Linked DNA regions of Saccharomyces cerevisiae S288C. The protein of the gene in region 1 purifies or fractionates together with the protein of each later gene. This does not show direct contact. Each region holds a gene or a part of one and is shown in the gene's direction. Other genes may lie near its edges. The genes, in order: LEA1, PRP9 and CUS1.

The links.
Region 2: the proteins of LEA1 (region 1) and PRP9 purify together in Saccharomyces cerevisiae (affinity purification with mass spectrometry; 6 studies listed by BioGRID, with this or other methods). This does not show direct contact.
Region 3: the proteins of LEA1 (region 1) and CUS1 purify together in Saccharomyces cerevisiae (affinity purification with mass spectrometry; 7 studies listed by BioGRID, with this or other methods). This does not show direct contact.

What each region holds. Positions count from the first base shown.
Region 1 is NC_001148.4:148,614-151,988, forward strand, and holds LEA1 (U2 snRNP complex subunit LEA1), read left to right. Parts: upstream 1-2,000; coding exon 2,001-2,717; downstream 2,718-3,375. Other genes in the region: THI6 (bifunctional hydroxyethylthiazole kinase/thiamine-phosphate diphosphorylase), read right to left, coding at 1-1,578; pseudouridine synthase PUS1, read right to left, coding at 2,902-3,375. UniProt on the Saccharomyces cerevisiae protein: Involved in pre-mRNA splicing. Associates to U2 snRNA in a MSL1 dependent manner and is required for normal accumulation of U2 snRNA. Required for the spliceosome assembly and the efficient addition of U2 snRNP onto the pre-mRNA.
Region 2 is NC_001136.10:395,916-399,673, forward strand, and holds PRP9 (SF3a splicing factor complex subunit PRP9), read left to right. Parts: upstream 1-1,621; coding exon 1,622-3,214; downstream 3,215-3,758. Other genes in the region: ATP-dependent RNA helicase DBP10, read left to right, coding at 1-1,289; ARP2 (actin-related protein 2), read left to right, coding at 3,425-3,446, 3,570-3,758. UniProt on the Saccharomyces cerevisiae protein: mRNA splicing factors, PRP9, PRP11, and PRP21, are necessary for binding of the U2 snRNP to the pre-mRNA in an early step of spliceosome assembly.
Region 3 is NC_001145.3:749,292-752,857, reverse strand, and holds CUS1 (U2 snRNP complex subunit CUS1), read left to right. Parts: upstream 1-1,617; coding exon 1,618-2,928; downstream 2,929-3,566. Other genes in the region: YHM2 (Yhm2p), read right to left, coding at 1-897; RNT1 (ribonuclease III), read left to right, coding at 3,181-3,566. UniProt on the Saccharomyces cerevisiae protein: Essential splicing protein required for U2 snRNP binding to pre-mRNA during spliceosome assembly.

The sequences.
Region 1 (3,375 bases):
TTCATGGAATAATTGATATAATGCGTCAATCAATTCGACATGGAATGAACCACTTCCTTGACAACGGGTGGAAGCCAACTTACCAGCTGATTTGTATAATAGGACAGCACCAACCACAGCATCAAACAGTTTTCCAGTGGAATCTAACCCACCGATAAAGGAAGCAATTGTAGAACCAAGTGAACATCCACTTGCAGTGATGTCACCCATGATAGGAATTGGGCCATCTTCAATTATTACACATGGAAGATCTTCAGCGGTTATTCCTTCTGTTCCTGATGAAAGTTTGTATTCGCCTCCAAAAGTACCATCAGCAACGCAATCAAACTCACCCGTGCAAACAGCAACAGTCCTGTATTGGAATGCCACAATTTGTGTAGCGCGCACAAGTGTGTCGATGTTCGTTTTGCCGCTGCTAGAGTCGACGCCCTTCATTTTATGGTTATTTAACTTGGCTAGAGACAGTATTTCACTGCAATTGCCCTTTATACAAGCAAATTGGCCGTAAGTGAGCAAAGTGTTGTTTAGACAGAGCCTTGTTTCAGTGGCGCTGTACCCGACCGGGTCAAAGGTGATGGGTCTATTTACTTCATTATAAGCATTAATTGCGGCTTTTAGCATTTCAATAGGTGCCACTGATCCGGTATTTAACAGTAAAGAAGCATTTGGGATTCTTGCTAGTTCAGATACTTCACTTTCAATTTCAGACATGATAGGAGATGAGCCTAAAGCTAGAGTGACATTGGCACCAAAATTTTGATGAACCTTATTGGTGATATGTTGCACTAATGGACGATTGTTTGATACTTGAGATATAACGTTTTGAATTGAAGTTGTGGTCGGAAATGTATTATTTAACTCGCACTCAACAAATTGGTATCTGGTAGCATCTAACAAGCCTCTCAACCTCTTGGTTGCTGCACATGCATCTGGAGCGGCCATAATATCGCTGACTAGAGAGATACCATCCAACGATCTCTTTCCATTTGAAGCAACACATTGACAAAGCACACGTTGAATATTGTCAGGATGAAGACCACCAATACCAACGGTTCTACACCATGTAGCTTTAAATTCCTCCAAAGCATCCAAAATGGCAATGGCGCCTTGAGGACCCATGGGTGATTTCTTAGGATTTTTCTTTGTTGATGTAGGGAAAAGAGTACCAACACCAATATAATCTACCATATCTGGCCCCCATTTAGCCAATGTCTCTACCTCCGAAGGTTTACCAACACTCCATCCAAGAATTTTAGAAGGGCCCAAAAGTTTTCTTACCATTGGGATTGGCATATCGTCCTGGCCCACATGAACCCCATCGGCGTCAATTGCCATAGCGACGTCTATACGGTCATTGATAATAAGTGGAACATTGTACTTCTTACATATTTTTTGAACTTCTAAAGCCTCTGCAACGAAATTTTTTGTTTCAATATCCTTTTCACGGATTTGAACTAGCGTTACACCATTTTTCAACCCAGCTTCAACCTGAGAACATAAAGTAGTTCCCGGTGGAAGCATGGTAGAATCTGTAACCAGATATAATGAGTAATCAACTTCTTCCTTAGTAAATACCATTTCCGCTGTTTGATTTAAATAATTTAGCTTCAGAGTGATTTGGTCTTGAGAACCATGGTTAGATCGAAAACTAGGCGCTTCCACAAGTAAATGGATGCGTTGCCGCTATAAATATATGTAGTATTGATTTTGTTACACCTGCTAAATAGGTTCTTACGATTGCCTTTTTCCTATAATATGCATAAATTATGTTGCCCTAAAAGAGTGAAATAAACCTTATCTATCTTTTTTTTGTTCCTGGTTTTCAAAGTTGATTTTCGACAGACCCTAGTTAATTATAGGAAAAAGCCCTATTAGTCTTTTTCTTATCATAGATGACATTTACTTATATTAGGCCAATCGCATACTCTGCATCCAACAAGCCTTCAACAGGTCGAAGTGAAACTACAGGACTTGGAAAATATCAGTTTTTATAAGCAATAATGAAGTTCACCCCTAGCATAGTTATTGATGCTCCGCAATATTATGTTGATCATTTTAATGGCAAGTATAACGTGGATAAATGTGTTATTTTAAGAGACCTGCAGCTAGAAACGGATTCAGAATCCATGCCATCCAGCTTAAAGCATTTGACCAAACCTACGCACATCTTGGATTTGACAAACAATGACCTTATCATGATTCCAGATCTATCAAGAAGAGACGATATACATACATTACTGTTGGGCCGAAACAATATCGTTGAAGTAGACGGTCGCCTATTGCCTATGAATGTACAGAACCTTACATTATCGAATAACAGCATAAGAAGGTTTGAAGATCTTCAAAGGTTGCGTAGAGCGCCCAGGACGTTGAAGAATCTAACTTTAATAGGGAATCAAGTATGTCATTTAGCCAATTATAGAGAACATGTACTTCGATTAGTACCGCATTTAGAGACTTTAGACTTTCAAAACGTAACAGCTGAGGAAAGAAAGAGCGCAATGAGCTTTCCAAGGCAGGCGGACGGCGATACGTTGGGCCCAGTAAATACTGCAATAAGAGATAATGGATCCAGAGATAAAACGATGGAGATCATGAATTTGGTGGTGAGTAAGATGACAGTAGAGAGAAGAAATGAATTGAAAAAGCAGTTAGCAGAAGCTACTTCTTTAGAAGAGATTGCCAGGCTGGAAAAACTACTCTCTGGTGGTGTTTAATCTTTTGGTTAGTGCGACTGTTCAATGACTTAAAAAAAAAGAATTATAAATTATTCTGTGCCATTATATAATAATATATAAAACGAAAACAAATAATGGTGCTCTATAAACATTAGAGGACAATGTCAATTTCAATGTCAATGCCTTAGAAATTAAAGTTGGTAAGAAAGAAGGAAAGGGCAACCTAATTAGCTGCCGCTTCCGGTTGTACTTCAGGTTCGTTGCTCTGAGTGGTGCTGGATATTTCAGCCTTTTTACTAGCAGCTTCCTCCTCTTCCATTCTTTTTCTTTGCTTAATCTTCTTATTGCTCTCGGGCGCATCAGTAAGACCTGGGATACCCTTAGCTGTCAAGAATTCGAAGATACTCTTTTGCACAGCAGGTCCCGATTTATCGGCAGTTTCTTCTCCCTGTGCTCCAGTAACCTTGTTGAAACTATCAATATAACTAAAGAACGCATTAAAAACATTTTCGTCCACCTCTTCCTTGTAGATCTTATCGTAGATATGCTTCATTTTGAACTTATCCACTTCGTCTTGATATTTGGAAAAATCGATCGCCTTGTAACCAAACTGTTCTAGTCTTTTATTATAACCTTCAAATACTGGAGCTTCTAACAATAATCCTAATGCAGGTGCCTTCGGAATATTAATCTTCTG
Region 2 (3,758 bases), on another chromosome or scaffold:
TGATGAAGAAAAGGTGGATAGATGAAGGAAAACCGGAATATCAATTTCAACCCCCAAAGCTTTCTTACACAAAAAGACTCGTTCTAGGTTCATGTCCAAGACTGGATGTTGAAGGCTTAGGTGATCTTTATAAGAATCTGATGTCCTCTAATTTTGACCTTCAGTTGGCGAAGAAAACAGCCATGAAGGCAGAAAAACTTTACTACAGAACACGCACTTCCGCCTCCCCTGAATCTTTAAAGAGAAGTAAAGAGATCATTTCTTCTGGCTGGGATGCTCAAAATGCATTTTTTGGTAAAAATGAAGAGAAGGAAAAATTGGATTTTTTGGCTAAATTGCAAAACAGAAGAAACAAGGAAACGGTATTTGAGTTCACCAGAAACCCAGACGATGAAATGGCAGTGTTTATGAAAAGGAGAAGAAAGCAATTAGCGCCAATTCAACGAAAGGCGACTGAAAGAAGGGAACTATTAGAAAAGGAAAGAATGGCTGGTCTTTCACATTCTATCGAAGATGAAATTTTGAAAGGTGACGATGGTGAGACAGGTTACACCGTGTCAGAGGATGCCTTAAAAGAATTTGAAGATGCGGACCAATTATTAGAAGCACAGGAAAACGAAAACAAAAAGAAAAAGAAACCGAAGTCTTTTAAGGATCCAACTTTCTTTTTAAGTCACTATGCGCCAGCTGGTGACATACAAGATAAACAATTACAGATAACCAATGGGTTCGCTAATGATGCTGCTCAAGCGGCTTACGATTTAAATAGCGATGATAAAGTGCAAGTTCATAAGCAAACAGCGACCGTAAAATGGGATAAAAAAAGAAAAAAATATGTTAATACTCAAGGTATTGATAACAAGAAATATATTATTGGTGAAAGTGGCCAAAAAATCGCGGCAAGCTTCAGGTCTGGTAGATTTGATGATTGGTCGAAGGCAAGAAATTTGAAACCATTGAAGGTAGGTTCGAGAGAAACAAGCATACCATCTAACTTGCTCGAAGACCCTTCACAAGGTCCTGCTGCAAATGGTAGAACCGTCCGTGGGAAATTCAAGCATAAACAAATGAAAGCGCCTAAAATGCCAGATAAACACAGAGACAATTATTATTCGCAAAAGAAGAAGGTGGAAAAGGCTCTACAAAGTGGAATTTCCGTCAAGGGATATAATAACGCTCCGGGTCTGCGAAGCGAATTGAAGTCCACTGAGCAAATTAGAAAGGACAGGATTATAGCAGAGAAAAAACGTGCGAAGAATGCTCGTCCTTCCAAAAAGCGTAAATTTTAGATAGTTTAAAACCATCTAGATCTACAGATATATAGTTTACATATGTACCATAGCAAGAAAACAAAAATAGATAGCGAGTCCGTTCTTCATAATTCTTTGTAGTTCTTTGTGATTTCAGTATTTTGTCGATGTAAGTCATGTTCAATATTTTTTTTGTAGCGCATTTTATTCTAACTTTCCGATGAGGCAACAAAGAAGTGTTAAGTATCGGCTGACGAAGTGCAATAAAAAGTACTTAGTTATACGGTAGATCAAGAACCTTCGGTGAGCCAAGCGAGGGTGTATACATTCATTTAATTTTGCTTTAATAGGAGTAGGAGGGCATCATCTCAATGAATTTACTTGAAACAAGGAGGTCCTTGTTGGAGGAGATGGAGATTATTGAAAATGCCATAGCAGAAAGAATTCAGCGGAATCCAGAGTTATATTACCACTATATACAAGAATCGAGCAAGGTGTTTCCTGATACTAAACTGCCTAGATCATCGTTGATTGCAGAGAATAAAATATACAAGTTTAAAAAGGTTAAGAGGAAGAGAAAACAGATAATTTTGCAGCAACATGAGATAAATATTTTTCTTCGAGACTACCAAGAGAAACAACAAACTTTTAATAAAATCAATCGTCCAGAAGAGACACAGGAGGATGACAAGGATTTGCCTAATTTCGAAAGAAAACTACAACAGCTAGAGAAGGAACTGAAAAATGAAGATGAGAACTTTGAATTGGATATCAACTCTAAAAAAGACAAATACGCTTTATTCTCATCTTCTTCTGATCCATCGAGGCGCACAAATATATTGTCTGACAGAGCTCGAGACCTAGACTTAAATGAAATATTTACTAGAGATGAGCAATATGGTGAATATATGGAGCTGGAACAATTTCATTCTTTATGGTTGAATGTAATTAAACGGGGCGATTGTTCACTGCTTCAATTTCTCGACATCCTAGAATTATTTTTGGACGACGAGAAATATTTGCTAACCCCACCGATGGATCGCAAGAATGATAGATACATGGCCTTTTTGCTAAAGTTGAGCAAATATGTAGAAACTTTTTTCTTCAAAAGTTATGCTTTGCTTGACGCTGCGGCAGTTGAAAATCTAATCAAATCTGACTTCGAACATTCATACTGTAGGGGATCTCTTCGGTCCGAGGCAAAAGGTATCTATTGCCCTTTTTGTTCGAGGTGGTTCAAGACATCTTCCGTTTTCGAAAGCCATTTAGTAGGGAAAATTCATAAGAAAAATGAATCTAAAAGAAGAAATTTTGTGTACTCTGAATATAAACTGCATCGGTATTTGAAATATTTAAATGATGAATTTTCTCGAACGAGAAGTTTTGTTGAAAGAAAACTGGCATTTACTGCAAATGAAAGAATGGCAGAAATGGATATCTTAACACAGAAGTATGAAGCACCTGCATATGATTCGACGGAAAAAGAGGGGGCCGAACAAGTGGATGGTGAGCAGAGAGATGGTCAACTGCAAGAAGAGCACCTCTCTGGTAAATCGTTTGACATGCCATTGGGTCCGGATGGATTGCCTATGCCATACTGGCTATACAAACTGCATGGGCTTGACAGAGAGTATCGCTGCGAAATTTGTTCGAATAAAGTTTATAATGGGCGACGCACTTTTGAAAGACATTTCAACGAAGAAAGACATATTTATCACTTGCGATGCCTTGGTATCGAACCTTCTTCAGTATTCAAGGGCATAACCAAAATTAAGGAGGCACAAGAGCTCTGGAAAAATATGCAGGGGCAGTCACAGTTGACATCTATTGCAGCAGTTCCCCCAAAGCCTAATCCTTCACAACTAAAAGTTCCTACAGAATTAGAACTAGAAGAAGAAGACGAAGAAGGAAATGTAATGAGTAAGAAGGTCTACGATGAACTTAAGAAGCAAGGTTTGGTGTGAAATCTCTCTGTGATATGTATATTTGTTTGATAGATAGCAGTTGTATGTATTTATACTATTCTTAGTAATGACCTTATTACCCGTCTTGTAGAATTGAAAGGCGAAAAACAATTTGAGGACCCATATAATGGAAGAAAACGGACGTGAAAGTTAAATATACGTACCAGAAGACAAATCACAGTAATAAACTAACAAAACTATATAATAATAATGGACCCACATAATCCAATTGGTATGTTGTTGATATTTTTAGTGTTTGTGGAGGCAATTGAGCTCGGTGCCCCTTTTGGCTTTGCCTCTTTTGCATTTTAGTTCTTTTACCCCTATATTATTAATACTAACCATCTCGATATAGTCCTTGATCAGGGTACTGGTTTCGTCAAAATTGGTCGTGCTGGCGAGAATTTCCCAGATTACACGTTTCCTTCTATTGTTGGTAGACCCATCTTGAGGGCGGAAGAACGTGCCAGCGTTGCTACACCATTAAAGGACATTATGATTGGTGATGAGGCAAGTGAAGTTCGCTCTTATCTGCAAATATCTT
Region 3 (3,566 bases), on another chromosome or scaffold:
CTTCGCCATATCACCAAAACCAACCATGAAGACAGTTTGCCAGATACCTAAACCAATTCTTGGGGTGACACCACGGTAAAGACCCTTTAGACCATTTGATTGATAGATGTATTTAAATGTCTTACCAACAGTCAAATTTTTTGGTCTGTTTGGATCTTCCTTCTTAGATTGCATTTCAACTCTAATGACTTCGATTGGTTGATTCCAAGCACTTAAACCACCACCTAAAGCACTGGCACCAATTTTCTCGAACGGATTCAACTTGTCGTCTTTATTGGTTTTCCCGGTGATCTTTCTGATACCATCTTCCACTAGTCTGGACAAACCAAAACGAGAACCCCAGTTGGTCATTTGTCTAATAGCAACAGCATTAACACCCTTATTAATACCTCTAATACCTTCCTTTTTATAAATATTCTTGAACACACTCCAAGAAGATTGTGGGACACCACCTGCGGAGGCAGATTTATGTCTTGTAATTTCCACCGTTTTCATACAGGTACAGAACCCCATGGTTAAGTAGGCTTGAGTGACACCACCCGTGACACCACCTAATATACCTGAGGCAAAGTTGTTCAACCCCAAACTTTTGAAACGATACTCAGCCTCAGCTGACACGAACAGCAACACAGCACCTTTAGTGGAGGCTTCGATCCATGCCCATGGAATCAAACCTTGGTAGTAACCCAAGATACCACCTCTTGACCAGACATGCTTAACAGATTCTAAAAATGTGAAGTTTCTGTTTGCAGCCATTGTGGTCTTAACAACCTCCAAAGGTTGCCCTAATGTAGTCACCTCTGACAAGTTTAAACAGGCACCCAATAGGATATTAGAAAACGAGACTGGCTTTTTTTCTATTACGTTTGCTGCAGCAGTATTAGTGGTAGATGGCATAGCTATAATGACGTCGGGCTTTTCCTAGCTTTATTTGTACAAAAGACTTATATAAAAAGATTGTATCAGCGCTGTTTATATCTCAATGAAAGTAGATATATATACCGTAAGCGAGTTGAAACAATGACTTGAGGTGGGCAGCTTCGGACTTTTTGCAAAATTCAAATCCGAATATCTAGAAGATTGTATTGACAGCGTTTTTTAAATGTCCGTAGATTTCTCGAGATATATAAATGTTACAGAAGGTAAGATCCATGCAAGAGGCTAATGCGTTTTTCTTTTTTTTTTTTAGAGTGCGATATCTTGTCATAAGTTTACACAATGGGACAAAGGAAGCTAAAACATGAGTGCAAAAGAAGGGCCCATGTTTGTCGCCCTATGCATTTAGCCAATCATCTTTTTTTTTTGCGTGATCTTTATCAATCGTGATTCTCTGCCTTCTGAGTGAAAAAAGTCATGATCTTCGCGTTATTGCAGCGGAATTTGCCGACAGGACCTAGGTCTTGAGAAAGAAAAGTGATAGGGTAAGTAATGGAAGAAGAGGGCACAGGTCCAATCACGCAGCTTCATTACAGGGCTATAATTGCAAGAATAATAACTTTCAACCATATAGAAATCCAATACAGTATATTGGTATTGTTTAGAAAGGTATTAAGAAGGCAGTAGCATACAGAGTATATATCTATAGGCAGAGCATCAGATCATAAAGATAGTGGTGAAATGGCTAGAACCAAAAGTAGGAAGCGTTCCGGAAATAACCAAAATAAGAATGCGTCTGTGGTAAATAATAAGGCTGAGATCGCCGCCATGATTGATGCAAGAAGGCTTGAGCAAAAGAAAAAGGGTGGGGTGACTAACAGCAAAGGAAAGACGAATAAGGTAGTGGATGCGAAGTTAGAAAAAGAGTTCAAAGACGTTTTACAACGATTTCAAGTGCAAGAGAATGATACGCCGAAGGAAATCACGAAAGATGAAAAGAACAATCATGTCGTTATTGTTGAGAAAAACCCAGTTATGAACAGAAAGCATACAGCAGAAGATGAATTGGAGGATACACCCTCGGATGGTATTGAGGAGCATCTATCGGCAAGAAAACGTAGGAAGACTGAAAAACCTTCACTTTCGCAGTTAAAAAGCCAGGTACCGTATCCTCAAATTATAGAATGGTACGATTGTGACGCAAGATATCCAGGCTTACTAGCGTCAATTAAGTGCACCAAAAATGTCATTCCTGTTCCAAGCCACTGGCAGTCCAAGAAGGAATATCTATCTGGCCGTTCTCTGTTAGGTAAAAGACCTTTTGAACTTCCTGACATTATCAAGAAGACAAATATAGAACAAATGAGATCGACGCTTCCGCAAAGCGGACTGGATGGTCAAGATGAAAAGTCACTAAAGGAGGCCTCAAGAGCAAGAGTGCAGCCGAAAATGGGCGCCTTGGATTTGGATTACAAGAAGTTACACGATGTGTTTTTCAAGATAGGAGCCAACTGGAAACCTGACCATTTGTTATGCTTCGGTGACGTCTATTATGAAAATAGGAATCTTTTCGAGGAAACGAACTGGAAAAGAATGGTTGATCATAAGAGACCGGGGAGAATTAGCCAAGAGCTTCGTGCCATAATGAATTTACCCGAAGGTCAACTACCACCATGGTGTATGAAGATGAAAGACATTGGATTACCTACGGGATATCCTGATCTGAAAATTGCCGGCTTGAATTGGGATATAACGAATTTAAAAGGCGACGTTTACGGAAAAATAATCCCTAATCACCATTCAAGGTCCAAGAAACAGGGTAGAAACTATTTTGGCGCATTGATCTCATTTGAAACCCCTGAATTTGAAAATTCAAAAGAGGATACACAGGCGAATGCGGAAAATGGGCGCCAAGATGACAAAATCGATGATGAAGTAGAGCATAAGTTAGATCACTTCCAGGAAGACATATCCGAAGTGACAAGCGCAGAAGAAAAACTTGAGAGAAACGAAGAGGAATCGGAGAAGCAACTATATACTGTATTGAAATAACTACTAAATATCGCATAGGTACTTCAGTTTTACAAAATTTTACATGTGGTACTATTTCTCACGTACGAGTTTTTTTCTTTTTTAAATGCGGCCCTAAACCATGCTGAAATTTTTCATGAGCTCATCGCAAAATTTATCTCATTATCAGGTCATATAGTCACTCTCAGGAGAATCCTGCTCGATCAAAGTGAGGCAAGTAAATGCGCATATAGAAGAGAGCAAAACTGTCCTATTTACAAGCTTTTCAAAACAATGGGCTCAAAAGTAGCAGGTAAAAAGAAAACCCAGAATGATAATAAACTAGATAACGAAAATGGTTCACAGCAGCGCGAAAATATCAATACCAAGACGCTTTTGAAAGGCAACCTTAAGATATCAAATTACAAATATCTTGAGGTGATTCAACTAGAACATGCTGTGACAAAATTGGTGGAGTCTTACAATAAAATAATTGAACTTTCACCAAATTTGGTAGCTTACAATGAAGCCGTTAACAATCAAGATAGAGTGCCTGTTCAGATACTTCCTTCTCTATCACGTTATCAATTAAAACTGGCAGCTGAATTAAAAACCTTACATGATCTTAAAAAAGACGCAATTTTGACAGAAATTACTGATTATGAAAATGAATTTGATAC